Diceros bicornis minor: one gene and its partners. The protein of the gene in region 4 purifies or fractionates together with the protein of the main gene of each other region. This does not show direct contact. Links are inferred from orthologs where the notes say so. Each region holds a gene or a part of one and is shown on either strand. Other genes may lie near its edges.

Region 1 (7,505 bases), on a different chromosome or scaffold from region 4:
AAAGTCAGCATTCCTAAGCATCCCCATCCCCACCCCCAGCACATCAACCTAAGGCAGAGCAGAACCGCCCCCTCCTTCCTCAGGACTCCAGCTGACATCAGGGCACCCTCATCCTTCCCCACCCTTGCCCCTCCTGGATGGGCTGAGAATCCCGAAGGACAGGAACAACATCCTTCCATCTTTCAATTCCCCACCAGACACTGTGCAGGCCCACAGTAAATGTTTAAATGTTAAAAAGGAAAAAATTCACTCTTTAAAAGTAAATAACTTTGTATATTGCACATAACTTTGTATGAATTTTTTGAATAACAAGTGAGCAATATTTATAAAAACTTTACAAAGCCCGAAAGTACCACTTCTAGTAGAAATTCCAGTGGTAGGCATAAAAAAGCATGTACAGGGATGTCTTATTTCAACATTTGATATAGTTGCTAAATATTAGGAGCAAATGTCAATGGCCATCAACAGAGATCTGGGAAAACAAATTATAGTACATTCCTACTGTGGAAGATCCCTTTGCTGGAAGTCAGAAGGAGGAGACAGACCTATCCATATTGACACAGAAAGAAATCCATAAGTTGTAGGATGACCGTTACAGTAAAATCTTGCCATTTATTCGTAAAAAGAAAAAACATGTTTTCATAGCATAGGGGAAAAAGTCTCTAAGAAAGCACCTCTAGGTTTTACCTCTGAGGGCATGGGACTAGAAACAGGGAGGAAGAATTATCTTTTTCTACTTTAAAATTCCTATCACTGAATTTGTTGGAATGCAATATAATATTTCTTCAATTTAAAATATAAACATAATCACTAAAGTAAAAAGGAACTTTTTACACTAAAGTGTACATTATTTTACCATTTTCTTATTTAGGAAATTGAGAGTATATTTTTTTAATTCTGGGGGGTTTTGTTTTACAAGATGAAATATTATTCACTGCTATATTCCCATCACCTAGAGTAGAGACATATATCAGGCACTCAGTTAATATTTGCTGAATGAATAAACTGCTGTACAATTAAAAAATAGTTGCTCAGAGGGAACAAAGTATCTAATTGGCTGCTTGGCAAACTCACAAAGGAAAAAAAAATCACTTGCAGAAGGTATCTTAACAATATGGTTACCAATCTAAAATGAGTTAAGATTTTTTTTTTAAGTAAATTCTTAAAGATCACACAAAGTCTCATCACATAAGCAATCTTCAAACTACCACGTTTACCAAGGAAAGGGCTCCTTCGAAACCAGTTTAATTCACAACCTGGAGTCTGGCTCACGCCTGGTGTACAAATAATAAAAAAACTATACGAAAACTTTGGGGGAAAACACAGATTCTCTAATAGAAGAAAATCAATAATGGCCAATGAGCCTTAATTTTGATTTATTTAAAAGTACTTATTTTGGGATGTAATTAACTTTTAGCATGGACTGCTGAGACCACCTTCATCTTTTCTCTAAAGACCAAGGCCCCTAACAAGCAGCCTTTTTATCTTCAGATCCTGAAAGAATGCCCCCAAGATGGCAGGCCCTCCATGACTGCTGATGCCTATGGGAGAGGTGAGATACTGGAAGAACAAAAGACAACCAAGGTATTAAGTTTAAGGAAAAAGCCTTGAATAGGTTCAGATTTAAGTTCAACTTTTTTTTTTAAGGAAGATACAGAATATTTAACCAAATGTTAATTCATTGGAAAGGATTATTTATATAAATAACGGCCACTATACTGAGGTCAGCTCCCCCTCAGCTGCAGTTTCCTGCCTGATGGAAGGCACTCTGAGTACATGTTTTGGGACACTTGAACCCAGCTGTCTACTTAATTCTAAAAACCCACATACAATCTGGATTTTTTTTTTAATCACTACTCTTAATTCTAAAAATTCCTTTGAAAGGGTGATTTAATCCTCCCTATGAAAACACTAGGTTCCAGATAGGCTGTCACCAAAATCCAAAAACATTTAGAGGAGGCGAGAGAGGTTAAAATGCTTCTTTGCCAAATTAATGTAGCTGGGTTTAGTAAGTGAGTGAATTAGAAGTGAATAAAATCACAATCCTTTCAAGCTGCCCTCTGCAATGCTCTCCAAAGCCTACCTGCTCTTTAACAACTGGAAATAAATTCTTCCGAGGTCTACCCAGCCTCAGGTATTTCTCCCTCTAGTAATGACTGTCTAGATGAAGATGTCTAAATTCATTGGGAAATCAACCACCTAGTTTACTTACTAAACTTATTACCCAAAGATCCCAGGCCCTGGTGCCTGCTCTCCCCGCCCACTCCTCCACTCTTGCCAGCAGGGTCCCTGTTTCTCATTTCTCGGTGATCACAGTCCCAAGTATGGAACATGTGCTCAGTAAGTACCTGATTTTGCCATTTCATGGCACTGCAGAACTAGAAAAAACTTTGGAATCCATCTAAAAGCAATACATGTATTCACTTAGGCTAATAAATAGCTACGAATGAGGATTTTTAAAAATGAGCATATTTTTCAGCTGAATGAATCCTACAGAACTTGGAAGCCAACATCAACCCACCGCGAAGCCACTTCTGTCTGGGCAAAGGGAGCAGCTGTGCCAGAAACGAATGCAGCCCATCCCGGGCTCGAGAGCGCGGGTGGCGGGGAGAATGGCGAGTGCCGCGTCGGAAGACTCGACTCCAGGCGCTCCTGCTCCGAGAGCGGGAGCCGGGCTGGGAGGGGGAAGGGACCGAACCCGGGGACCCCGGGCGCCCGCAGCCGCCGCGCCAGGGAGGGGGTGCCCGTTGCCTTGACAACCGCGCGGGGCGCAGCCCTCCCTCTGGGCCGGGGGAGGGGAGGGGAGGAGAGCGAGGGGACCCCCTGCGCAGGGGCGGCGGCGGCGGGGGGCACCTCCCGGGCTCAGCCGCCGCGGGCCCGGCCCCCGGGGCCCCCTCTGGCCGCGGCCCGCGCCTACCGTGTATCCCCGCTCCAGGTCACTCTCCTCGTAGCGAAAAGACGGGATGTAGACCTCCATGGCCGCGCCAGCCGGCCGGCGGAGGACGAGCGGGGGGCGGGCTCACGGCTGCGGCCGCCGCCCCGCCCCCGGCCCGGCCGCCCCGCCCCCCTCCCTGCGCCCTCGGGACCCCGAGGCTGCGCGGCGCGGACCTGGAGCGGCTGCTGACCCCGCTGCCCGCCGCGCTTTGAGAGGGCCCGGGGCGGGATCCGGGGCCCGGGGAACGGAGGGCGCGGGGCTCTGGACAGCTGGGTTCTGGGCCCGAAGGCGGCAGGGATCGGCTGGGCCCAGAGGAGGCGGGGCCTGGAAACCTGTGAGTCTGCAGAAAAGGGGTGTGCGCGCCACCGCGCCGGGCGCCGGGGACAGGGCCGCACCCGGGCGCACCCTGTCCTTCGGGCCCCGGCGTGCGCCGGCTTGCAATTTGCAAGACACCACCCTTAGCCGATTGCACGACAGCGAGGAATAGAAAAGCATGAAGCTTCTTGATTTTGTTTTGGTTGGCCGAATGTTCGTTCTGACATAGCAGACATCACTGGCTGGCATTAACAGCAATGAATCCTCCAACTTTTACGGAGACTTTTCTGCTTCCCTTCCATTCCAGGGTCGGCGTCTCGTTCCGAGTTAGCCGCCGAATCTTGGAGTGGTATTACAATACAGAGCCCGAAAGTCGGCCGGGCACTGAGACAAACGCTCCAGCTTCTTGCTCCAGTTTTAAAATGCTGCCTTTAAATAACTGTATAGGGCTTTTTAACTGTAAAAGAAAATAGAAGACGAAACAAAAAGAAAAGAAAAGAAAGGTGAGAACCGGATTCTGCCCCTCGGGCCAGGACCTAATAACCTTGAAAGTACCTAAAAGATGAAGTGTTCCAGTAGAGGAAACTTGATTGTCAGGTTATCTTTTGTAAACTCTTGAGTTTCTTCCTTAGGTTAGAGCACAGAGCAGAATGGAAACTTGGAGGTGACTTGTGGGTCACTGAGAAGTGACCTCAGCCAGAGAGTTTCTTGGGCTGCAGGCGAACAACTGTGCCTTGAGGCCAGGGGGCATTTCACAGTGGCAAACTCTAAAGTTTATAATGAGACCCTAAGTCATGGAAAAGAGGAATAATCAGCTCCTTTGTTTTAAGGACCCTGCAAAGCCTTCTACGTTAACCTCATCTGAAGACCCACCCTCCTCACCCACAAGCTCGCAACTCCGTGATGTGTCTGCCCCTCAGAATTCCTCAGCATAAGCTGTGCCCTTTGACCAGACCGCCCTTCCTCTTTTTCTTCTACGGGCCAGCACCTCCTGATGTAAGCACAGCTCTATGGACTCCATGCTGTCTGAATTCAGAGCCCAGCTTGTTGGTTCCTTTGATCCTCTGGTGACTGTTACACACACTATTGTGTGATTTATCTATCTGCCTCACTCACTAGATTTTAGGGCAAGTACCTTTTTAAAAAAAATTTTTATCCCCTACCTGGCACAATGCCAGGGACATTTTTCTTGAAAGCTTTATATAAGCATTTAAATACTCATCTTTACAAAACCAATGGGATGCAGCAGGTACTATGCCAGATGCTATTACATACGTTACATACCATGTCACGTTTAAGCTTTATAACAACCCCATGAAGAAGTGTTATGGGCAATAGGACTTTCAAGGCCTAAAACCGGTGTTTCTGTTTTTTTGTTTTTAAAATAGTAATGGCTGCTGATGGCAGAAGACCCCCAAAACAATTTCAAGATTGGTTGAAACAGATTATTAAAGTCTCAGTGGGTGATGTAACCCAGGATTATATAATCATAAAATCCTTGAGCTACAGATTGCTGATCAAGCTTGTAGTATGCTTTCTGTACTGACCTTCCACAACAGCCTGCTAGTAGCCTGGCGTATATATAGTCTAGCAAGGCTCACCTATTTACCCATTGGACTTAAGAGGCAGAAATGTGTGGGTCCATGGAGATGTGACAGATGGTTGAATTCAAATGAAACCTATTTGCTGTATTCTAATAGCTATGTATAATTTAATTTTGCCTTGCTGAAAATATATACAAGCTCCCAATATGTGGGTGTGTTCTTGAGGATCTATCAGCTTAGCCATAAGTGGTATTGTTATAATTTCAATTATTATAGATGGCATAATTGAGGCTCAGAGAGGATAACTATGAAATTATTAGCTAATAATTAGAAGATCTAAATTTCTAACTAAGTTCTGTGAGTAACCACTAAGGAAGGGAGAAAAAATAGCAGTAAATGAAGAGAATGTGGCAAATGTATTATCCTGTTGTTCCAACATATCTTAGTCTGACTCTACAGTCTGTGACAGGCCTGCTAAATATATTCTCAGAACATTAATAAAAATACATAGCAAATACATATATAAGACACTGAACAATTAGTATTTTCTAATAAAAGCAAAAAACTCATATAAGCAAAATAATAAAATTCTGCTGGAATCTGGGTATGAAATCCTTACACTAAAAATACAATTTACCTAATATTAGGTAAAAATATATTTCAGCAAATTTAATTATAAACTGCTTTAAATACCAATTTATGTTAGAAGATTTGACCAAAATCTATTACACAGTCAACATTCAATTGTAAGACTAACACATCATGACCAAATAAGATTTATCTCAGGAACATACAGATGGTTAAACATTAGGAAATCTGTTGCTGTATTTCTTAACATTGTCAGATTAGAAAAGAAACAAAATAAATGAGTATTTCAATAGATCCTGAAAAAAACATTAATGAATCAGTATATCTCTTCCTAATAATTCTTAACATGATAGAAATAGCAAAAAAAATCTTTAATTTGATAAAGATTAACTACTATAACTCCACAGCAAATATCCTATTCAACATCATATGAGGAAGCATCATAACAGTATTAATAACTTTATCATAACTATTGTTTGACATTTTGCTGGAGGCCCTAGCCAATACAATAAGAGAAGTAAAAGAAATAAGAGGTACACATATTGGATAGGAAAATAGAAAACTAGGGTTATTTATAGATAAAATGATCTACATAGAATAGAATCAACTAAAAAATTATTAGAACTAATAAAAGAGTTACATAAGTTTCATAAATCAACATATACAAATCAATAGATTTCATATACTATAGCTTTCTATAGCCCAACATTAAGCAGTTAGAAAATAACATACAGAAAACTGAAATATTTCATTAATAACAGCATTAAGAACTTATAATTCTAAGGATAAAGTTAACAATAAATGTGCAAGACTTATATGAAGAAAAAGAAAACTTTATTAAACAACATAAAAGAAGATCTGAAAATAGTTATATCATGTTCCTAGATGGGAAGAATCAATATTTTAAAGATATAAGTTTTCACCAAAACAATTTATAAAGTTAATACAATCAAAGCTCCAACAAGCTAAGAAAAGTGACAAGCCGTTCTAAAATTTACTTGTGGGGCTGGCCCAGTGGCGTAGAGGTTAAGTGCTTGCGCTCCGCTTCAGGGGCCCAGGGTACACAGGTTCGGATCTTGGGCGCGCACTGACGCACCCCTTGTCAAGCCATGCTATGGTGGCGTCCCATATAAAGTAGAGGAAAATGAGCACGGATGTTAGCCCAGGGCCAATCTTCCTCAGCAAAAAAGAGAGGAGGATTAGCATCAGATGTTAGCTCAGGGCTAATCTTCCTCACAAAAAAATAAATAAATAAAATAAAATTCACTTGAAAAATGAATAGCCAGGGCAAGTGTGAAGAAGAAGAAGAATAAATGAAGAGGTAAGTTAATCTATAGGACATCAAAACATACTATAAAGCCATAGTAATTAAACCAGTATGATCCTGGAGCAGAATTAGAGAAATGATCAAGGGAATCAAATAGCCCAGAAATAGATCCCTGAATATATAGAAACATAGTATGAAACAACAATGATATTTCAAACCTGTGGGGGTAAAAAATAAGCTATTAAATAAGTGGTGTTTAGTTTTAATAAATGTTTAAATAGTTTTAAAGTTTTAATGAATGTTTAAAAGTTTAAATAAATGATGTAATAGTTTATCGATAACTGGCTATGTGTTAGGGAGAAAAGTAAAATAGATTTTAAAATGAATTCCAAATGTAGTAAAAAAAAAGCACTATGAAGAAACAAAGCTATAAAACCTCAAGGTAGACAAAGTGTTATTACAATATACATGTCAAAGACATTAAGGGAAAGATTATATTTTAGACTAGATAAGAATTTAAAATTAATGGAAACCAAAAACCGTCTAAGTTTAAAAAAATTCAATAAACTGAGAAAAATATTTGCAACATGTATAACAAAGGATTAATGTATATGTTATACATAAAGAATAACTACATTAATTTTTTTAATGGCACAATAGGAAATGGACACAGTATGAACAGGCAATTCCCAGAAGAATGCAAATGGACCAAAAAAAAAAAATCCAAATTAGTTATCTATTACCACATAACAAATTACCCCAAAATGTAGCTGCCTAAAGCAATAAATACTTATTATCTCCGACAGTTTCTGTGAGTTAGGAATCTGGGAGCAGCTTAGGTTGCAGTCAAGATGTT
Region 2 (7,515 bases), on a different chromosome or scaffold from region 4:
TGGTTCTTCCACAGTGCCACAATTTCTACACATTAGAGTACTCAAGGCTCAGTCCTTGGACCTCCTCTCCTTTCTATTTACACTCACTTTCTTAATGTTCTCACACAGTCTCACGGCTCTGCTAGAATGCAGCTTCAACAGGGTAGGAATTTTTCAGCAATTTTGTTTATGCTAAATGCCTTGAACCTAAAACAGTGCCTGGCATGTAGTAGGTGCATGACAAATATTTGTTCAATGAATAAATAGATGAATAAATGGCTTTAAATATTATCTATAAACTGATGACTCTCCAATTTATACCTTCTGCCTGGATCTCTGTCTCGAACTCCAGATACATTCAACTGTCTATCTGCTATCTCCACTTGGATGTGTCATCAACATCTCAAAGTTAACCAAGTTCAAACGAGAGTTCCAATCACCCTCCCAATGGCTTCTCTGACAGACTTCACTTTCTTAACAAAGAGCAGCTCCATCCTTCTACTTCCTGAAGCCAAAAACTTTTGAAATCATTCCTGATTCCTTCTCTGACACCACATATCCAATCTGCCAATAAATACTGTGGATTCTGCCTTCAAAATATACTCAGAATTTGACTACTTCGCACCAAGTCCACCACTATCACTACGGTCCACGTCATTACCATCTCTCGTCTGGATGCATGCAACAGCCTCCTAACTGGTCTCCCTGCTTCTTGTCCCCCTCCACCCCCAATTCACTCTGTTCTCAGAACCAAAGCCAGAGAAATTTTTTTCAAACTTAAGTCAGATCAAGTCACTTCTCTGCTCATAATCCTACAATTATTCCCACTTTGCTCTGAGTAAAAGCCCAAATCTTGACAATTGCCTATAAAGCTCTACCCGTTCTGGGCCTATTAAATCTCTGAGCTCATCTACTACTTTTCCTCTCACTTATTCTGCTCCAGTCATATTGGCTTCTTCTGCTGTTTCCTCCAAAGGTTATAAGCACACTTCTACCTCAGGGCCTTTTCCCTTACTGTTCCCTCTGCCTGGAATGCTTTTCCCCCAGATACCCACAACCTATTACCTGCTTCATCACCTTGTTCAATTGCCACCTTCTTTGAGTTTTTCCTGATCACCATATTTAAAATCGCAACTCTAATCCCACTCCCTCGTATTCTTTATCCCCTTTCTCTGCTCTGTATTTCTCCACAGCATTTATCACCACCAAATACTATATATTTCACTTCCTGGGACACGTGCTCGAAAAGGACAAGAATTTTTGCTTGTTTCATTCCACTCTATATCCCTGGTGTTTAAAGCAGTGCCTGGTATACAGCAGGTGATCAATAATCTACCCACTGAAGGAATGCTTTCATTTCCACCAGGGGGCCTAACAATCATCTAGCCTGATATTTCAGGAAAAGATCATAAAGCTTCTCCAAGATTTCTCCCAGGGCTCTGATCCGTAGAAGGATTATACTTTGCCTGGAAAGAAAAACTGTGCTTTGTCTAATCAACCACAAGGAGGAGTTGAGAGGAAGAGCTAGGCAGAGAGAAATCAGACAATGCCGTTTCCCTTGCTTTTCCTACAGCAACCTCAAGGTGGGAGAAATACGGATTTGGAGGCAACTGTACTGAATGAATGATTTTCTCCCTACTATGAGTTACCTAGACACACACAAACGTAAACATTAAAACCCGCAATCCTTTCGAATGCCACAACGAGGCCAAGGAAATCAATCCACGGGCCACTGAGGACTGGGAGGGAGTTTCTTTCACTCCACCACTAATAAGTCTCCATAAATCCAGGGGAAGAGTTGCCATTAGCGCAGAGACACGTAACTCACACACGAAGGCCTGGGTGCTCCAGGCTGCCAGCACGCTCGGGCCAGGGAGCTAGTAAGTCTGTTCTATTTAATACTTAAAGCACCCACACTCTTAAAACAGCATAAGCAAGGCGGTCCCAGGTCTAAACTCGCAGATGGGGCGGATCGCGTGTCAAGTCCCGATTCAGTGAACACCGAAATCAATTTCCCACGGGATTCTGACTCACCGCCACCTGTTGATGCCCACATTGGAGGAGCCCGCGAACCAGGGGTCGAGGATGTAGACGCAGCGGATGGTGTCGGCGCCCTGGATGCACTCCTTCAGGGCGGGGTTGTCGTGGAGCCGGAGCCCCTTTCGGAACCAGTGCACGGCGTTCACCCCCATCCCGGGGCGCGGCGGACGCCGAGTTCCTCCCGGAGAAATTCAGGGGAGGAGGGTCCGGCTCATGACCGACACCTCCGCCGCCAGGAGAATCGCCGCACCCAGGGAGGGAGGGGAGGGCGGCAGAGCGGGGAGAGGAAAAAATGAGTCCGAGGAGGGGACCCGAGAGGGAGAGGGCGCTGGAGGCGCTGCTGGAAGATGAATGGAGGCTACCCAGGCGGCGGAGTCCGGTGTGACGCCCTTTAGGAGCCGGCGCCGGCCGCAACCGCGCGGACCAGACGCATAACTTCGAGGGCCTCGGACCTCCGGCGGCTGAGCAAGTTCCACGAGCCCGAGCCGCCACGACGGCCTGAGCCGGCACCCGCGGCCCCTGCGGGTTCGTCACGGAAGCCTCGCCCCACCGAGGCGGCGCCTGAAGAGAAAACGGGCCGCCGGAGGCGAGCCTCCGAGAGGGACGAGAGACGGTTGAGCAGCTGTCGGCCACGCTGCCTCTCGGGCCGGGAAAGAGGAGTGAGAACGCAGCACGGAGCACGAAGGCGGTGGTCGAGGCCGCTGGACGGCTGCCGGCCGGTGACCGGTCCCGAGGCTGCCCGGGTGACTCCGCCGCCGCCGCCGCGTCAGCGGCCTCGGCCCCGCCCCCGGATCCTCATTGGAGGGCGCGGTCCCCACGTGACCCCCGGCACCTCACGTTTCTGAAATGTGTTTACTACAGCCGCTCTGACTGGGGAATGTGCTCATGATTCAGTCGCTTCTAGGGGGCGGCAGCCGCTTGATCTCAGAGCCGTCGATCCTCGCCCAGACGCTGGGCTCTCTGCCACTGCTCCTTTTCTCGGCCGACAGGTCGCCGTGGCCTGGAAGCCCCCGCGGTAACCACACGGCCCCTGTGAGGGGAGGCTTAGCTCCGCCTCTGGGGGCCGTGAGCATCCACCATTGGCTGAGGCCCGCTGAGACCCGGATGAGCACGGGGATGCGGGGAGCTCGCGGACGCGCGCTTGGCTCGGGAGGGCGCGCGTGCGCTCTCACTCTGTTCCAGAGGGAGAGAGGCAGAGAGGGAGGCAGGGAGGCAGGGCGGCAGGGCGGCAGGGCGGCAGGGCGGCAGGGCGGCAGGGCGGGGCCGGCGGGCCGGAGTGCGCTGGGGGATTCCTACCATGGGGTTCGCGGAAGGGCTGGAGACAACGTGGTGTCGTCCAAGCGGCGGCGGGGAAGCTGGGGGAGGGGAGTGAGGCAGGATGGGGTGGAAGGAGGAGAGTAGGAAGCTCCATTAGACTTCGAGCCCAGCCGTGTGCTTCAATCCAGCTTTAGCCAGAGAACCCTACTTTTGAGTGTGTGGAGCTGGTGCCCCTGCCATTCTTCTGGCCCTCGCGGCGCGACACCCTTGGACATGCTTTGGGGAAGAGGGGTAATTGGCAGGGTGGGTGCCAGGCATCCCTGGAATTCCTTTATACTGTCTGTGTATCATCAACATGTCAGCCCTAATTTCTTGCACTAAGTGCGATTTACAGGGCTCTTCGTGATGAGGCCTTTGCCTACCTTTCTAGCGACAATGAACTTCAGTCCATGCCATGCCTTAGACATGTGATGCCCGTATATTAATTCAACAATTACTTATTGAACCAGGCACTGTTCAAAGTGTTGGAGATACAAGAGGGAAATAGACAAAAATCCCAGCCCTCTTGGAGTTTACAGTCTGTCTCTTAACCTTTACACATGCTGATTTTTCCTCCATAAAATGCTCTTCTTTAGAATCACTACAATCACCTTTGAGCTACCTGGTATATTGCTACACATCCCTTTAGATTCAGATGAAGTGCTACCAATTTGTGGAAATATTCCTGTCCTCCAAAGCGGGTTTAGGACCACCCCCATCTCGCCAGGCATGTCTCTGATGCATCACTTATCACACTATGGTGAAGATTAAATGAAAAATGCCTACTTTAATACCTAACACAAAATATGTGCTAAATATCAGTTTTTATTATCATAATAGTTATCATAATAGCATTATGATAACTTGAGAAGTGTGACTTCTCAAGGACAGAGTTTTTGTCCAATTTGTTTTTTGCATCATCAATACCTAGTGTGAAATGAATAAGAGAAACCTTAACTAAATTAAAGTTGGGAAGGTCTGTAGGGGGAGCTCTCAGGCTCTATCATACATGGTTAGTTACTCAGGAAGAGACATAGCTTGCATCTCTGGCAGTAAGTACAACTATTTTACTACTGAAGGAAGATTTCTCTCCCCACCTGGCTACAGCCCCTGAACTGTCACTTTTCTCCAATGGACTTTGTTTAGAACAGCCCCTCCCTGCTCCCCCTTTTTGTCTATGAAAGCAAGCTCTCCTCCTTTGTTCTCGGAATTTGCCTATGGTTTGCCATTGCATGCACATCCTGAATTGCAATTCTTTTGGCTATTCTCAAATAAACTTATTTTGAGGGTAAAATAACTGGCAAATTTGCTTTTTAAGTTGACACTGGTATAGAGCCTGACACATGTATTCAAATATTGAGTGAATGAATGAATCTGTTTGCCACCAGTGTGTTTGGCAAGGTTACAAGGAGGAAGGATATGGCAATTGTTACAGGTTGACTTGTGTCCCTCTAAAATTCATATAACCCCTAGTACCTGTGACTGTGACCTTATTTGGAAGTAAAGACTTTACAGATGATCAAGTTAGGATGAGGTCATTAGGGTGGGCCAATCCAATATGACTAGTGTCTTTATAAAAAGGGGGAATTTGGACACAGAGACAGACCCACACACAGGGAGAATGCCATGTGAAGATTGGAGTTATGCTACCACAAGCCAAGGAACTACTTGAAGCAGCATGGAACAGATCCTTCCCTAGCACCTTCAGAGGGAGCATGGCCCTGCCAATAGTTGGACTTCTGGCCTCCAAAACTGTGAGACAATAAATTCCTGTGGTGCCTTCACTTGGATTGCCTCATATTCCCAGGCCTATTGTAGTTTTAAAAATACAGTGTTTCAGGGCTGGCCCAGTGGCATAGTGGTTAAGTTTGCATGCTCCACTTTGGCAGCCTGGGGTTCTCGGGTTTGGATCCCAGGCGTGGACGTACGCACCGCTCATCAAGCCATGCTGTGGCGGCATCCCACATATAAACTAGAGGAAGATTGGCACAGATGTTAGCTCAGGGCCAATCTTCCTCACAAAAACAAAAATACATTGTTTCATGTTTCATTTTAGGCAGTTTGAAAGTAAGCAGATTGTGTCTAAAGACATAAGAATTGTTTTCAAACATCCAAATGAAACAGTGGGAGGTAGAGAGACAATATTGATTGGTGTAGAGTTGACTTATGTTTGCTGATTGTTCATTCAATAAAGATGAATTTTTTTGACAGCTGTATGTGGGTGTGTGTGTAAGTTTCATTTACACATAAAAGTACTAATTTATTATAAAAGCATCAGTACTGTCAACTGTGCATTCCTCAAAGACTGAAGGGTTTTTATGGCATACAGATGGTTACTTTAATATATCTTTGTTATGGGGGTGTAGTAACCATTTAATAATAGCACCTACTATGTGCCAGGCACTTTATATAGGTTATTCTTAACCCTAATAATAATCTTTTGAGGCAGCTTATTATTATTTAATAATAACTTATGCCCACATTGCTGATAAAGACACTAAAGCTCAGAAATACAAATAAGTAGTAAAACTAGGTGAAAAACCAAGACTGTTTCTGAATCCAAGCTCTTTCTTTATCATATACTATTCCTCACTCACACTACCACTCCCCTTGTTTTTCAGAGTGAGTATTTATGTATGAAGGGAGAAGGAAAAGATGGGGAGTGTTGTCAGGAATCTCTTGTGATATTCTGGTTGACTTCAACATCATGGTGGTAGAAAGAGTATGGGACTAAGAGAAAGAGAATGAATTTTCTCTCGGCTCACCATTTAGTTGATGATCCTGAACAAATCACCTGGGCTTTCTTGGCCTGATTAATTTATCTATAAAAGGAGGCGATTGAACTAGATGATTTCTAAATTTTCTATACTATTTTAAAATTCTAGGATTCTATGAACACAACCCTGTCATGGGCTCAAAAATATCTATGAAGAGTCCTGTTAAACATTCTTTCAACTGCCAACTATGTTAGAAAAATCAATATCTCTTTGATTTCATGAGCGCCCTTGATAAAAATGTGTTACCTCTAAATTGAAAGCCTGTGTTCTCTCTTGACCCCATCTTGCAGAGGTGATTTTTGACATGTTATTAACAAACACATAATGAAGGGGTAGACAGTGCAATCAGCTCATTCAGTCTTTTTTTTTTTTTATAATTTTATTTATTTTTCCTCCAAAGCCCCAGTAGATAGTTGTATGTCATAGTTGCACATCCTTCTAGTTGCTGTACATGGGACGCAGCCAGACAAGCGGTGCGTCAGTGCGCGCCGGTGATCCAAACCCGGGCTGCCAGCAGCGGAGCGTGAGCACTTAACCGCTAAGCCATGGGGCCGGCCCAGCTCATTCAGTCTTGATGTGATGTGTATATTAGGCTGGTAGCCCTTGGCTGAGTGATCCCCAACACTAGAGTCTTTGGGGGATTGAATTTATATGATGTGTTAAAGGATCATTATTTTTTTAAAAAGGTAAATTATGACTCTCATATGAATATAAAATGAACACATGTCAAAGATTTCACTTAACTTGTTAATTAATGAGGGAACCAGTAAGATGTTACAATGGAATAAAAGGAGATTCCAAAGAGCAGTTACATATATAGGCCATGAGGAATGTTAAAAATGAATTTTCTTATTATATGCAAAACTAACTTCTTCTACAAAGGGGTGAGGGTAGGGAAATCAATTGCACTTTCAGAGGACAATATCCATGTGCGTGTCCATGGACAAGATTCGTTTGCATTGCTATCAATAATCTACGATTTAAAGAGTTGTAAAATAGTTTAAAGATAATGACAGGCAGAGAATAACTTGAAGAGACCTAGTAATTTTTTTGCCCATTTCAGTCATTCATAATTTTTCTCACCTTCTTGGAGTGATACTGGCTTAACACAAGGTTGACACAAGGGAAGCCATATTGTAGAAAAGAAACCATATTGTAACTTGGAATGACCTCTGATAACTAACCCAGATATGCTCTGCAGATTTTGTGGCCCCTCTCAGCTGCTATAAGTTGATAACTTTGTTCTTTTGAGTTCCTTAGGAACGTGATGACTCCCAGGCAGAGAGTCTATGCTGATAGCCATCATCAACGACAGCTGAAAGATCAGGGTGTAGGGCGTTGCTCCGGTCTCTGATACATATCCAGTAAAACAAAAGACCATCAGTAACTAAGGCCAGATGTCTGCCCCTACCCAGAGATCAGA
Region 3 (7,973 bases), on a different chromosome or scaffold from region 4:
GCTCATATAGCTACAGTTAGTCCATAAACTTCCCACCACCACCAAAGCAAGGAGAATGCCAGCCCTTCTCCTAGGCTCATAAACATACATATTTCTTAATTGCCTCTCTCTGTCCTCTTTTACTCTTAGAAAGTGCCATTCATGGTTATTTTAATCTGATTCATCCGCCAAAAAACGCTGTGTGGGAGTCAGTGTAGGAAGCGCAGGAGATAATAGAGATCACAGATTTTGGTGCCATCTCCATCCTGCAGATGGCCCGGGGCCCACCCTTCTTAGGGAGGCTTCTCAGCAAGTGAAGCAGAGTGAGGACACTGTGCTGCAGCGCAATTCTCCCAGATCACTCCTGGATCCAGAAACAGCCCCCGGAAGATTACACATACTCGAGTTACGCAGAGGTATGGCTGGCTCCATCACTCCCCCCAACCGAGTGCATAAAGGAGCGTGCAGCAGTGCCCTCCATCCAATCAAAGGAGCAAAGAGTATGGGGGTGGGAGGAGTGTGTCTATTTCCAGGCCCAGGAGCAGTTATTACATTCGATCTGTTTGTGTCATTTCACTTCTTTCTTCTGAATGCCAAAACTAATTAGACTTCCTGCCAATGCACAGCAACACATTTTCCAAGCTGTCGGGCTCAGGTCTGTGGTTCTCTAGTCGAGTGCTTCTCAGGCTTTGCTGCACCTGAGAGCTTTAAAAACCCTAATGCCCAGGCCATAACCCAGAACAATTAAATCAGAACTGGGGGAAGGGGGGTGAGGCATCTTTTAAAGATCCTTAAGTGATTGCTATATGCAGCAAAGTTGAGAGTCAGTACTCTAGTCCATCCTCCTATTTTATTTATTTCATGGCACTTCTACTAAATTATGGTTGTTTACTTGTCTTCCTTCATTAAAATGTAGGTTTCAGGAGCTCTGGACACGGCATCCTCTTGTTCACTGCTGTGACCTGAGCAGCCCCTAGGGCAGTGCCTAGCAGATATTAGGCACTCATTAAAACAATTGCTCAATTAAAATCTGCATTCCTACACGGCCTCTGACTTCAGGATCTGACTCAGGTATCTGAGCTGCCACATTCCACTTCTCCTTCACTTGCTTGAAAGCACAATCACAAAAGCATGACCCATAAAAATCCATAAACATCTAGTTCCTAGCAAATCGGAGTTTAATCAGCAAGAGTTTTTGTTGCTGATTTTTAATCTCTACTAGCACAAAGGAGTAGGCAGTCCTCTGCGATGTCCCCCAAAATCCAACAAAAGAAACTCCTTGGTGACAGTGTAACAAGTCGATAGTCTGATCTATTTACTCTGCTCGGATTGGCACACTGACATAAGCGAGGGGCAAAGTCTGAGGCTCAGTTTAACCTTCCTGCTAGATGGCCATTTGAGGATGTCTGTGGAACCCAACCTCCTATCTATAGAAACTGGAGCAGAGACAGAGCAACAGAGCCGCCTGAAAACTGTGTGGGCAGGCTCTCCACAGGACTATCTTTAGTTGTTCTCTCTATATAAGTGGGGCAGGAGGGGGCATTTCACAGACCCACTGCTAGAGCCCTCACTCTCCCAGCAGGGCACACACCTTGGAGAGGGAAGGACGGTGTGCTGAGAGCCACTGTATCCTGGGAATAACCCTGCCCAACGCAATATGGCCACAGCAAACATCCTCCAGAACCACGCAAACAAACCGAATGACTCCTGTGGGATGTTTTAATGACAGATGAGTACACGATGTCTCAGAACGCCTTGGTTTTAAACACTGATTACAGAGAAAATACATCAACTACCTATCTGTGAATCCTTTCCCAAGATCCTGTCAACTCCATTTCCTGGAGTAATCGAAGACGGGCCCTTGATAGCAGTTTTCCTGCTCCCTGACCTCAGCACATCAGTTGATAAAAGTCTAATCTTTGGTGGTTCAACTGTCCTTTAAGATCAGTCTCATAAGAAGGGGAGGAAGGAAGTAACACTGTGTTTTTTTTTTTTTTTCCTAGCAAGCTCACTGCTGCTGAGGGAATTCTCCAAAATGGGTTCAGTCCTGCTCTCTAGGTCAGGAGACAAAGTGCCTCTAACTGAACATGGCCTTGGGGTCTGTACCTATAACACATAGGAGAGGGCACTTGCCTTCTTATCTAATGCTAAGCCAGAGTCTCTAGACACCTCCAGAGGCAGGATAGTCTTGGTGGAAGGGCAGTCGGCATCGGTGAAAAGATGGATTCAAACACACCAGAGGCTTAGAGACGACCTTCAGGAGCCCAGCAATGGGCTCTTTACTCGAAGAGTGCACGCGTCTGCTGTGCTATGGATTCAGAAACCCGTCCCTGCCCTCACAGCGCAGAATCTCCTTTTCTCCCCGCCCTGAGCGCACCCCTAAGAGCCCTAGACCAGGAGTCCCCGGTCTGCCACGCACTGGCCGCAAGTCCTGGGGCAGGGCAACTTTGCGTCTCTAAGGCTCAAGAGTCTCATCTGTACAACGGGGACCATGATCTCTGTCCTCTGGAATGTTGTGAGGCCCAAGGGGATAAAGAGTGAGGAAGCGCTTTGTCAGAGGCCGAGCCCTGGTCCCCCCCGGCCATTGGCACGATGACTAATTGCTTTCCCCATCTTGGCTTCTCCCCTCTGGGGACCCCGCTGGGTCTTCCTGCCCCGCTTCCCTAGGCCGGAGTCTTCCGGCCGTGGGGACTGCGGGGCAGAGCTTCCCCCTCTCTGTGGGGGGGCCCGGGCTGTTCGCGAGCGCCCCGCGGCCAGGCTGCGTCCCCCAGGCCCGCACCCCCGTCCCTGGCCCCTCACCTCCATCGGTTGATCCCGACCGAGGACGAGGCCGCGAACCAGGGGTCGAGGATGTAAACGCAGCGCACGCAGCGCGCCCCGCGCACGGCCGCCAGTAGCGCCGGGTTGTCGTGGAGCCGCAGCCCCTTGCGGAACCAGTGCACCGAGGAGGCGCCATCCGCTCCGGCCGCCGCCGCCGCCGCCGCCGCCGCCGCCGGAGCCCCCCCTGCCCCCGTCACGACCGCCGCCGCCGCCATCACCGCCGGGACTGCTCGGCCGCCGCTGCTCCGCCCCGTCGGCGCCGCGGGCCCCGCCCCCAGCCCGCCCAGTGACCTATGACGCCGCCGCTCCTCCCTGTGGCCCCGCCCCTCTGGCCCTGGAGCGCCTCTGCCATTGGCTGGGTGCCTTCCTCCTGGCGATTGGCCTAGCGGCGCCGAGTTCGGCCCCGCCCCATCACGTTCCCACCATGTGTCCGCCGGCGGGGGAGGAGCCGGCGGGCGGGGCGGGTGACGCAGGCTGGCCCTCCCTGCGGAGGTCTGGGCGTGCACCGAGTCTGGGGGCAGCGGATCTCTTACGCGCGTCCTGTTCAAGGCCTGCCGCTGGAAGAAACTGCCTGAGCTGGTGGGGCTTGCCAGTCCAGCCAGTGACTTACAGGACTGACAACCGGCCGTCCTACAGCACCATGCTCCTCCTCCTCCTCCTCCTCTGCCTTCACCCTATTACATCATCTGCAGCATTCTACTATTTGAGTGTATTTTATATGCCAAGCAACGTGATAATCTCCTTACATAGACTGTCTCATTTACTACTACACAACTCAGCCCAGTTGCGTTCATTCAAAAACTCCAGTGAAAGAGCTGTTTTATTCTCATTTTACAGACGAAGAAAACTTTGAGGCTGCCGTAGGTTGAGAGACTTGCTCAATATCATAAATCTAATAAGAGGACTCCACCCAGATTATTCTGATTCCAAATCTTCTGCTTTTATCCACAAAGCTACGCTTCTATTTGCGCTGAGCAACTTGTCGTTTGCAAGTGGCAGAGTCTGAGAAGGGGGTGGAGTGCGCTGATGCGCAGCAGTAGATGGGCTGGGAGTAGGGACTGCGAATGTGGAGGACGTGGGTTGAGATAGTAATTATTCCATCAGATGAATTTATTTTCTTTTAGTTCTATGTTTAGTAGATCCAGTGGTACCACTGTGCACAAAGCACTGTGGTGGATTCGTCTTGGACTCAAAGATGTGGAGGACACTGTCCCCAATCCTCCCCTGGGGAATTGGGTTGAGGCTTCTTATTCTTCTGGAGTCTAGCGCAGGTCTCGCTGATTGACGGCCCCACTGACTGAATGGCAGGAGAAGCATATGAACACCTGCAATGAAGTGACGGTGGGCTAAGATGGCCTAGGCAGGGTGGAGCTCTGCAGTTATCAAGTGAAGAGTCTGTTTCAATTTGGCCCTAGGTTGTGCCCATGCTCGGAACCCTTTCTGAACTTGGGAATGAGCAATGAAAGAATTTAGCAATTTAGTCAGCAATTTAGTGGCATTAATTGGCACCACTCTATAAATCAGAGCATCGTTGCGATCCTAGGATTTCTCATTTCCAGGACTTTGCCAAGTTGTTCTTTCAAGCCTGGATCACACTCCCCACCCCATCCACTTTCGAACTCCAGCTTGTCCTGTGTCACCGCTCAGTAAAGATGTCACTTCCTTGCTGTCTGGTCCAAGCCGGCATAGTGCCTCATCTCTTTCCGTGCTGCTTCTTATCACTGGCCTTAGTACATTTACTGGAACTTCTTACTTGTCTGTCTGCCCCATTAGACTATAAACTCCTGGAGGGCAGGGGCCGTGGCTTACTTATAGTTGTATTTCCAGGATCTAGCTCAGTGCTTGGCACTCAATGCTTGAAGACATTTGAGTCAAAATTGAACAGGAACTAGAGTCTCAGGTTGACAGGAACCTTAAAGGTCTATCCCAGCGATGAAAATAATAAGAATAATAAGAAGTTTTCACATATTGAGGTATATGAGGAAGCCATTCTGGTTTAAATTTGATTTGGCCCAAAACTTGTTTTTCCCAGAGCAGTCTGACTTATGGCCCACCAAACACGCATTGTACATCTGCTTCAAAGATTTTCCCAAAGCAACAACTGCACTCTTTAAAGAGGGGTGAATGTCTCCCTTTCTCTGATACCAGTACTTCCGTGAAGATTAGCTTTGTTTTTCCCCAGAGAACTAAGGTCAAGCTGACCTGCTATGTGTGTACTAAATTGAGGCAAAACATCTCCTTGTGACTTTGGAAAAAAAACACTGTATTCCTGTCATGCTTGATGTATGTTCTTCGTTCTGAACTCATATATAACAACGCTGTAAACCATGCTTCCCTGGAGTGCTTTCCTCCCTGGGGAAGAGAGCACTTCTGGGCTAGTCCTCACATTAGCTCATTAAATATCACTCTCTCTTTCTTATCTACAGATTGGTTATTGGTATCTGCATAGACACCAGTCCTGACCCTGGCTTTACTTTTGAATCCCCTCTCCAAATGCTTGCTGAATGAATAGATGCCACCTCTCGTTATTTTTCTTTTGGGACTTTGTGTTCCTCCCTCTCCCATCTCCTCTTCTCTCCACAAGGTGGATGCTCTGCTAGGAATGGAACAGAGGGTGTAAGAGATGGTTCTTCCCTACAGCCTCAAAGATGAGTAGTCTTCTCTTTTTCTCCTCTGAACTCCTATGATGCTTTCTTTATAGACTGTGAGCTCCATGAGGGCAGGGACTGTGCTTATCTTGCTCATTAGTGTCTTCTCAGTACTAGTTTGGTCCCCGACATGTAGTAGATGCTCAATCAATATTTGCTGAATGATTGAATGTTATTTATCTATTTCTGTCTTTTTAGGCTCTCATGAAAGGCAGTGTGGTATGGTGGTTAAGTCCAAGGGCTTGCACATTTGCAATGTCTGTGTTCAAACTCTGGTTCTACTTTTACTCTGTGTGACCTTGGGTAAGCTAGTTGACCTCTCTGTTCCCCACTTTCTTCACCTATACGATAGGGATGATAATAGTAGCTAAGATATAGTAAGCATTTAATAAGTATCAGCTTATTATTATTCTATTATTCTAAACAGCAGGATCTGTGTCTGCTTTGGTCTTCCTTGCAACACCTCGCCCTGGGTCTTTCACATAATGAGTGCTCCATAAGTTGCTGAGTGAATAAAAGATTTTAATCAGTTAAAAAGTCCTCAAAATTATACCAGTAATGCAAAACAGAGAGAAGTAATCACCATCAACCCCCAAAACCAAACAAGTCAATTATTGTTTTTACCTTTATGTTACCTTCTAGACTTTGTCCATAAGCGTCTTTTTATAGCATTAATCAAGGCAGAAGTACAGTGTTTGCATGGCTTTTTAAATGAAATATTAAGCATGTTCTATATTGCTATGTCATTGCCTTTGTGATTGTTATTTTAATACCTATATAATCTTTCATCAGGTTGATAAAAAATGAGTTACTTTATTGAATGATTGCACATTGCTTGCGTATATTAACAGGGTAACATTCAAGAATCAGGAAATAAATCTGTCACGGGTGGAATACTGGAGTGCAAAGTCCACTTTGGGACTTCACATTTCAAAAGGACATAGGGAAATTGGAGAGAGACCAAAGAAACCTGTACATTGCTAAGAGGTAACATGTAATCGTGTACTGTTATAGCTTTGAGAGAAATGAGAACTGAGATTTGACCTTACAGCTCTACACGTCGTTATTTACAAGCATGTCTGAAGAGTTTGCCATGAGGATGCCAAACAGTTGCTCCTTGTTTCCACTAAGCGTAGAACAAAAGAATCCAGTTTACCCTAGGAAGAGTAAGAGATTCAAGGAGGGACTTAGTATAATAAAGTGGTTTGGGAATGAGACAAATTAGCCAGGTAGTGGGAAGTTTCTTTCTTCACTGAAGATATTTAAGAAAACTGAAATCAGTCCAGTTTTGTCCTTTTGCTGTAGTCCTGCTTGGAGACTGGATTAGGCAATTTTTTACATTGTCTTTGAACTGCGCTTTGGGTAAATATTTTATGATTGGTTGCAAGCCAACCAGGGGAGGGCGGGAGGGACGACCCTGGCGAGTTTAAGTTATCTGCGCCCTCTGGTGGTGGGTCTGGGAAAGACGCGGTGGCTCCGTTTGGGGCTGAGCCGGGAGCCCCAGAGCCCCACCCTCCTCTCTTTAGTTACGGGACATGCGCAGTGTGCGGCTGCGGCTTTCCTATTTCTAAGACTTCCCGTAGAGCCTGCTTTGAGATTTGTTGTTTGAACTATTACGAGGGCATGGACCCAAAAACCGGCTTCCTTGGGTTCTATTTCCAGCTCTGCCATTAACTAGTAAATTACTTGGGCAAGTTCCTTAGCCTCTCTGTGCCTCAGTTTCCTCATTTGTAAAATGGGGATGATGATGCTGGGGATGATGATGATGGTAACGATGATACCAGTGCAGCGTGGAATTGGAGCAAGATAGACAAAAGTCTCAGAACTGAGAACCCAGAAACAGACCTTCACATATCTGGATATTTAATCATGACAGAGATGTCTTTGCAAAGAAGTAGGGTAAAGGTGGTTTTTCCTATAATGGAAATGGGTCAATCAGATATCCCAACATAAAAAAATGAAACTTGACAGCTATCTTGGGACATACACACAAATCAGTTTCAGGTAGATTATATAAAACAGTAGATGGTCTAGTGGTTAAGATTCAGTGCTCTCACCTCTGCAGTACGGGTTCGCTTCCCATTCGGGGAACCACACCACCCGCCTGTCAGTTGTCATACTGTGGCGGCTGCATGTTGCTGTGATGCTGAAAGCTCTGCCACCAGTATTTCAAACACCAGCAGGGTCACCCATGGCAGACAGGTTTCAGCAGAGCTTCCAGACTAAGACAGACTAGGAAGAAGGACCTTGTCACCCACTTCTGAAAAAATTGGCCATGAAAACCCTACGAATAGCAGGGAGGATTGTCTGATAGAGCGCCAGAAGGTGAGAGGATGGCACAAAAAGACCGGGCAAGGTTCAGCTCTGCTGTACACAGCGTCACTAGGAGTCAGAGTCAACTTGATGGTTGACTTGACAGCGGTAACAACAAAAAAAAAACAGTAAAGCTTTGAAAAGATTATATAGGAGAATATCCTTATGACCTTGGGGATAGATAAAGAATTCTTAAGTAAGACCTGGAAAGCA
Region 4 (7,752 bases):
TCCACATTAAGAACACTGGCTCTCCCTTTGTTTTCACATATATCAGAGATATACTGCCAGCAAAGTAAAAGGACTTCTGGTTTCCACTGCCTCAAAAACACACCACCTCCAGCAGCGAGGGGGCACAACCCCGTGGAAGCTAAAGCTGAGGGAGGCAAACGGCCGGGCGGGGTTCACCTTATACCACCTGCAATACCAAGTGCAGTGACATTCTGCCCAATTGTGTGCTGCCCAGGGTGTGTGAGCTCTGAGGCCTTCCCAGCAGCCTTCTCTGGATCTGGCAAGCTGAGAGGGAGGCAGACTGAGGATCGAGGCTGCACGTTTTGGGGTCTACCTGGCTCAAGTCCAGTCCACAGACTTTCTGAAGCCTGGGCACTGGAGAAAATAGCCCCAAGATCCTGCCCCCCTTTGAAGGGGCAATTTTGGGAAGGACTGGAATAACTGGCAGGGCACAGTGCCACGTGACCACGTCAGCACAGTAGGCCACCAGAAAGACAGACCAATACTGGGCCTTCTTGGTCCACAAGGCGCTTGGCAAGCTGAAGAACAGCCTTCCCTACTCCCAGTTTCAAACGTGTGAAAGCACAGAAACTTCCAGGCAGAAATCCAAGACCCCAAACACCAGGCTCAAAACAAGGTGACCCTACCTGGAGGAGTCAAGAGCCTTCTGACCAGTAGCAAAAGGATGGTAGCAGGAATGATTTTAATTGTAATCACACAAAATACCTAAGACATACCAATTTTCAAGATCAGGACTCAGTTCCTTAACTAATGCCTGATTAGTTGCCTAAACAAATAGAAAAAGCTATGGTACAGGTGACTCAATCCATCCCATCATCTTTGGACCAGTCATCTTTGATCTTTAACGACAGTATGTGGTGAGCTTCCTCAGACCCACCTTTCTAGCCACATCTTACTCAAGCTAACAAGATCATTTCACATTTTCTCAGTGGGGTCGTGCGTAGCCTGAAAGGGCTGCCATGTGGGCCAAGAGCCAACACTGATTGAAAAAAATGGGTTGTGCCCAATCCCACACAAGTAACTCTAAGTTTACCCTGATGCGTGAGCTGTGTGGGTACTCAGAACAAGGGCTCAAGAACCACAGTCCACCCATCTTAGAACACACATGAAGCAGGAGACTGAGGACAGACTCCTCTGGGACCAGTCAGCCTGATATGTATCCAGTGCTACCCGTGTGCCCAGCACCAGGTGAGGTCCAAAGGATGCAGTAGTGAATAAGCAGACAGGGTCCCCCACAAAGCTCCCAGTCCCGATGAGAAGAGCTTACACCTTTGTGAATGACTCGGTGACAACCGTTTCACAATTTGATTGTCTGAACCCAGCTTTAGAAAGCACAGAGCTGTCTGGCAAGGACAGAAAGTTTCACATCTACTTTTTGATGCTTGCATAAGAGTGGCTCATGGAATGGCCTTTCAGTACAGCTCCTAGGTTAAAGCTTTTGCCAAAACCTATTATTCTATAAATAAGGCAAACAGCTTGCATTTACCTAGCACTTTGCCTCCCAAAACGCTGCTGAGAATGCAGCTGGCTGACTACTGGACATAAATATTTAAATACTAAATTCCAAATGCTTCCAAAGTGTATTTTACTCAGCAGGACAGTAAGGCAGAAGTATAGGTTCAAAGGCATCAATATGGCAGTAACGGTGTCAGGGTATCTAGGCACCAGAGGCAGTTATGAACTACCCAAACACGTCGACTCCTCTTAACAGCCCCCGAAGTCCTGCGTCTTCTCCGGCCAAGAAGGAAGGATAGGGCGGTGGGCACACACACTTGGGATCGTCTGAAAGGCATAACCAGAGGCATTACCGACACAGGAAGCTATTCCTGACCCTCCCGGACAGGTACACCGTCCAAACAGAAACAACAGGGCGTGGCTGCGCAACAACACAACACGCTGACCCCAAACTTGCGCAACGACAGTCTTTCAGTCTTTCTGAACACACACCGTGTGCCAGGTTGGACGTTCCCAAATCCAGGGGGTGTGCAGTAACTTACACATAATTCCTCTGAGAAATGCAGAAAAGTTGTTTTAACATTCCCAACTTTAAGATTCCAGCCAACCTTTTATTACACACGTGTGTGCGCGTATTCTTCCACTGTAAATCCGAAACAATCCAGAACATTCTAATCCCAAATGTGTTTTTCAACTCTACCTTGAGAATTTTCAAAGCCAAAAGGGCAGGCTCACGAGCAGGGCTTCCTACCTCCCTTGCCTCTAATTCCGCCAGCATCCTCACACGACTCCGTCACCGCACCTGACTCTCAGGGCTGTCCGGGCGCAGGTGCCCAAGACAGAGCACGGATGCCCAACACGTCCCTAGCCACCACTCACCACTGACACGGCCGACCCCGCGCCCGTCCTACCGTCCGGAGCCCACGGTCCGGCCCGAGCGCGCGGCTGCACAGGGCCCAGCCGGGGCTCCCCGCGCCCACCTGCCCGCACGTGCCAGGACGCGGGGCCACGCGACGCCCGACGGCCTTCGTCGGTCTGCGGGGACACCGCCACCCCCGGGCCCGGCGCGCTGGGGCCAGTGCCTCGGGGCCGGCCGGGGGTCCCCGGGGCGCGGGCGGAGGGGACCCGATTCGGTTCGGCCAGGCCCGGGGGAAGTGCCTCACCGAGATAGATGTCTCCGAAGGAGCCGCTGCCGATCTTGCGGCCCAACCGGTACCTGTTCCCGACCCTGAGCTCCATGGCGGCGGCGGCCCCGGCTCGCTCCTACTCTCCCGGCCGCTTCCTGGGTCTAAGCGCGGGGAGGCGGCGCCGCAGCTGCCGCTACTGCGGGTCTGGCTGCCGGCTCCGCCCCCCTCACGGCCCCGCTTTCACCATCGCTTTCCGGCCGCCCCGTCGCTCCCAGCGCCTCAATACGGGGCGGAGAGAACAGTCCGAGCGCCGCCGCCCCTGCTCCAGGCCCCTGCGACCCCCCTTGCCCTCTCCCCGCCGCGGATGGACTCGGATCTCCCGGGCCTAACTCCCCCTTCAGCAGCCTAAAGGAGCCGCCGCCATCGCGCTGTGACGTCACTTCCCCTAGCAACCTGGAGGGGCGGGGCCGCGCAGCTCGGGGGGAGGGGCCGCGCTGCGCGAGGGGCGGGGCGGGGCAGGGGGGCGAGGGCGCCCCGGAGTTTCCGCGGCCCTTGGACACCCCAGGCGGCTCCCTTCTCTGTTTGTCGCCTGTTCCCGCACCGCAGCACCGTGCCGAGAGCCCCCCGCCCGACCCCCTCCCGCATGCAGGCTCCACGTGCTCACGCGGGGAACTCGTTTGACCCCGCAGGAGGAAGCCAGTGGCTCTTAGCAACAGGCCTGGGACAGGCCGCCAGGCAGTGCTTTTTGCAGGAGAACGAGAGGGGCCGAGCCCGTCCCTCTAGACCCCGGGGACCCGCGCCCTTGAGACTCTCCAGGAGGAGGCCGCCCTTCCTGGCCCAGCGTCTGGAGACAGAGACACAGGTCGGGCCACAGCGGACACAGGTGTGCACGCCTCTTGAGGTGGTCGGGGGCTGGCCGGGGACGTCTACTGTGCAGTTCCCTTCCCATCCTGCTGTGCCAAGTCCCGGGCTTGCAGCTCAGCCAGCTGTCACACCTGAAGGGTGAAGGGGAAGCTACCAGGGTTTCAAAGGATGAGGCCAGACTGCCTGCCTCTCCAGTCCCATCGGTCTGGAGACTGAATCAACGTTTTTATCTAACCTGTGTTGAGTCTGAATATTCTTCCTTGCAAAATAAAACAAGAATGTTGATGTTCCGGCTGACCGCCAGCTTCATGATCTGGACTGTTGATTCCAGTCACTGGGAAGGGAGTCCTCCAGAGAGGCACGGAAACCAAGAAGGAATGACTTTCATGTCAATGCTTCTCTAGGCCTATCCCCCACCCCGGCTAAAAAGGAAGCACCATAAAACCGGCTGTTAATACAGCAGAGTGAGTGCCCTCCCATGGCGCTTGGCAGGCTGGTCTCTCCACTCCGGAGTCCTCCCTCTCCTCCATTCAGTCTCGGTAGTGCAGCCCATGCCGGAAAATCGTTGGAGCTCAGGTTGGGGAGACTCCTGAGCATTGCAAGGAGTGCCTGGAGACAGAAAGAGAGGCCACAAGGCAAGCCAGGATCAGTCGCTAGTGAGTGGTGGGCAACTGGGAACACCCCATGTCCACGTGCAGTGGTCAGCCTAGTTTCTCAGTCTTATGAGGTTGGGGGGATTTTGCCAAACCAGTGAAAAGAGCCTTTTTGGCAGAATTTGCTGATGAACAATGCCCAGTTCCCCGGCCAGAGAAAGCCACGAGTGCAAACTGGAAACAGAAGGGGGCCTGGCCCCTGCTCCCTGGAAATACTGGACAGGCCACTCGCTCAGCTGCCCTGGGCTGATCGCTGGCCAGTGGTCCCCTCCTGGGCCTTGGTGTCCTCTCAAAAAAGAAGCTGTAGCTGTTTGGGCTGCCCCGTAGGCCCTGTGGTTCTACCTGCTTCACCTGTTTGTTCTCGGAGTTGGTCAGGACAGCCGGCCAACAGCAGGACCAAAGTCCTTGCCTGTGTTTCAGTCCACGGCTGTGATGGAAAGCAGCCAGAAGAGGCCTGCGCAGGGGCAGAGCCACCATCTTTGAGGGGCCTCACCAGGGGCCTGTGCCAGGGTTCCAGGCCCTGTTATCCCAGCACTTTGCTGCAGGTAGCCTGCCCCAGTGGCTACAGTATCCTTGTGTGTGCCTCAGTTTCCCATTTGTGAAGCACGCTTGCGGGGCCAGGGCTTGCAGAGGCTGTGCTAGGACAGCTGGTTCCCCACTTCCGGCCTCTACACTCTTCCAGATGGGAATCCTCTCTGTGCTCACGGCTGCTCTCTCATCCTACTCTGCCATTCACTGTGTGACCTTGAGAAGGACGGAAGTCAGTGCCCCAGACTGTCCATTGGAGCGTTGCCTGAGGACCAGGAGTTACACAGGAGAAGGCCGGCAGGTGCAGGAGGCTTTCGCACATGCCCCTGTTCTTGTTGGGAACGGCCTGGGACATAGCAGGCACTCAGTAAATGCTGGCTTCATGAATGACTCACGTGGATGAACTCCCAGCTCCTAGGCTAGGCCATCCCCAAACAGAACTGCGAGGTGGAAACCCCGCCTTCACTGTTGGGGTGGCCTCCCTGGACCTGGCCCCCAGCTGGATTTCATTGACCGCTCCCAGCCTCATGCTGCCGGCAAGGTCACTGGCCTGTGCCATGCCCTCAAAACTCACTCACGCCCAAGATTCCCCAGGTGTGTTCCTGACTAAGCAGGGGGCCCCTCTGCCCTGCCTGGGGTCTTCTTGTTTCAATCCAAAACTGCAGTAGGAGGAAAGTCTCACCCAAAAGGCTGGGGGTGGGGGCTGGAGGTCTTTTGGGCCCGTCCCTCTCCTGGCCTTTGGACTCCCTGGTCTGCCCGTGCAGACCCACACATGTCCCTGCTGAGCTTCTGCCCGGGTCCTGTGTGTCTGCAGGCCATTCCCACTCCAGGCGGCCTCTGGGGTTTTTTTCGTTTTGTTTTGTTTTGTTTTTGTGAGGAAGATTAGCCCTGAGCTAACATCCATTGCCACTCCTCCTTTTTTTGCTGAGGAAGACTGGCCCTGGGCTAACATCCGTGCCCATCTTCCTCTACTTTATATGGCACGCTGGCACAGCATGGCTTGACACACGGTGCGTCAGTGATCCCCCAGGATCCGAACCTGCGAACCCCGGCCCACCGAAGCGGAGCGCACGCTCTTAACTGCTGCGCCACCAGGGCTGCCCCGGCACCTGGTCTTAAAGCACTTCCAAATACTTTGTCCCCTTCCTTATAACCCAAATTCCCTGTGACCTCCTGGGCAGGCGAGGAGGTGTGGGAGGGGAGTGGACTCCCAGTCTGTCCTCTGTCCTCCGTGGAAGCGGAGCCCAGGGAAGCAGACTGAGAACGGCCTGTCCTGGGGTGTGGAGGATTTTCCATGCTTGCCCTGTGTGTGTCTGTGCGCATGTGTGAGCAGCTTTACCGAGATACAGTTCACATACCACACAATCCACCTGTTTAGACTACAATTCAATGGTTTTTAGTATATTCATAGAGGTGTGCAACCATCGCCACAGGTTTACATTTTAATCGCCCCCCCAAAGGAAGCCTCTACCGTACAGCTATGCCCCCCACGCCCAGTGAATGAATGGAGGGCTGTGCTCTCATTCACTGGTGTGTCGCACTGCTCTCCGAGGTCCAGCCAAGGCTGGCATCAGCTGCAGAAGTTCATGTTTTCCTGTACCCTGAGAGCACACATCTCCCTTCTCCCATCCTGGCCTCACGCCAAGGGTTCTCGTCAGACCCTTTAGGGGCGGGGGGCAGATACACACTCTAGTCTCCAGAAACAAGAGGCGTGTGTGTGTGTGTGTGTGTGTGTGTGTGTGTGTGTGTGTGTCTTGGAAGGACACCTGACCTGGGATTAGACATGGGATGAGAGCTACTCTGGGGTCCTCGCTGCTGTCTCTCATGGTGGCCCTGCACCTCCCAGCTGCTTGGCTCAATTCTTCCTCCTCTTGACTGACATGCCTTGGCTTCTAGTAGTTTCTGCCCCTTGAGCTCCCTACCGTGCCTCCATTCAGCTTTGTGAGAGAAAGTAACTGGCTGGTCCTGGTTGGCCAGTTTTTTTCTGCCCCAGGTCACAGGTCACTGGCAAGCCCAAGGCTGGCACCTTGGAGCCAATTAATGGGGGCGGGTGGGGGTGGGGCAGGGAGGGGACAGGGTCATTTGCACAAATCATGACTACCTTTTGCTTCACTTCCCCTTGGCCAGAGCCAGACTCTGGACTCTGGCAGCCCAGAGTCACTGAAGAGGGGATTTGTGCCCAGGCTCAGACCATGGAGAGAAGGTCACCCCCGCTGCTGCCCTCCTCACCTGGCTTCCACGCAAGTCTCCTCATTCTGCTCCTGCTGGGCATCAACAAACCGTAGGAATGCTGACCTGTGTTGTTCCTTTCCATATTATCATTGTGAGATGCAGAAACTGAGGCCCAGAGAGGCTGTCCTGTTAAAATTTCTAGATTTTCCAGGCAGCTGCAATTTGAAATATTCCGCATGATTTTAACAAAAGACAGCAAAAAGAGAAGTTTGAGAGAAAATGAGATAGCCAGAAGCTGGAAACAACCCAAGTGTCCCTGGACAGGTGAATGGATAAACAAAATGTGGTCTGCACACACAATAGAATATTATTCAGTCTTAAAAAGGGAAGGAAATTCTGATACATGCTAAATATGGTTGAACCTTGAGGACATTATGCTAAGCGAAAGAAGCCAGACACTAAAGGACAAATCCTGTATGATTCCACTTATATGAGGAACCTAGAGGAGTTACATTCACAGAGACAGAAGGTCAAGTAGAAGTTACCAGGGGGAGGGAGAGGGAGATGGGGGAGTTGTTGTTTAAGGCAGACAGAGTGTCAGTTTGGGAAGATGAAAGAGTTCTGGAGATGGATAGTGGTGATGGCTGCACAACAATGTGAATGTGGTTAATGCCACTGAACTGTACACTTAATGGTTAAAATGGTAAATTGTATGTTGTGCATATTTTACCACAATTTTTAAAAAATCCACGGACCAAAAAAAAAAGGGGGAGGGAAGAGGGAGTGGAGAGCCTAGTATAGACAACTCTCTATCCTAAAAGGTTTGGCAGGAGGTAACTTGGGATCCTTCCTCCTGGAAGGTTGCCCTCCCTTCCCGTGAGCACCGGCTCTCTCCTGCCCTGCCCCTTGGCAGCCCGCATGACTCTGATGCC

Evidence for each region.
Region 1: the proteins of CSNK1D (region 4) and SNX24 purify together in Homo sapiens (affinity purification with mass spectrometry; 3 studies listed by BioGRID and IntAct, counting the BioPlex papers as one, with this or other methods). This does not show direct contact. The link is inferred for Diceros bicornis minor from reciprocal best matches to the Homo sapiens genes CSNK1D and SNX24.
Region 2: the proteins of CSNK1D (region 4) and CRY1 purify together in Homo sapiens (affinity purification with mass spectrometry; 3 studies listed by BioGRID and IntAct, counting the BioPlex papers as one, with this or other methods). This does not show direct contact. The link is inferred for Diceros bicornis minor from reciprocal best matches to the Homo sapiens genes CSNK1D and CRY1.
Region 3: the proteins of CSNK1D (region 4) and CRY2 purify together in Homo sapiens (affinity purification with mass spectrometry; 3 studies listed by BioGRID and IntAct, counting the BioPlex papers as one, with this or other methods). This does not show direct contact. The link is inferred for Diceros bicornis minor from reciprocal best matches to the Homo sapiens genes CSNK1D and CRY2.

The regions. Positions count from the first base shown.
Region 1 is NC_080740.1:43,823,838-43,831,342, reverse strand, and holds the start of SNX24 (sorting nexin-24), read right to left. Parts: upstream 3,018-7,505; 5' UTR 2,978-3,017; coding exon 2,918-2,977; intron 1-2,917. UniProt on the Homo sapiens protein: May be involved in several stages of intracellular trafficking.
Region 2 is NC_080764.1:17,168,480-17,175,994, reverse strand, and holds the start of CRY1 (cryptochrome-1), read right to left. Parts: upstream 3,006-7,515; 5' UTR 2,172-3,005; coding exon 2,014-2,171; intron 1-2,013.
Region 3 is NC_080770.1:24,329,850-24,337,822, forward strand, and holds the start of CRY2 (cryptochrome-2), read right to left. Parts: upstream 3,015-7,973; coding exon 2,779-3,014; intron 1-2,778. UniProt on the Homo sapiens protein: Transcriptional repressor which forms a core component of the circadian clock.
Region 4 is NC_080757.1:61,657,384-61,665,135, forward strand, and holds the start of CSNK1D (casein kinase I), read right to left. Parts: upstream 3,004-7,752; 5' UTR 2,716-3,003; coding exon 2,640-2,715; intron 1,804-2,639; exon of another isoform or gene 1,707-1,803; intron 1-1,706. UniProt on the Homo sapiens protein: Essential serine/threonine-protein kinase that regulates diverse cellular growth and survival processes including Wnt signaling, DNA repair and circadian rhythms. It can phosphorylate a large number of proteins.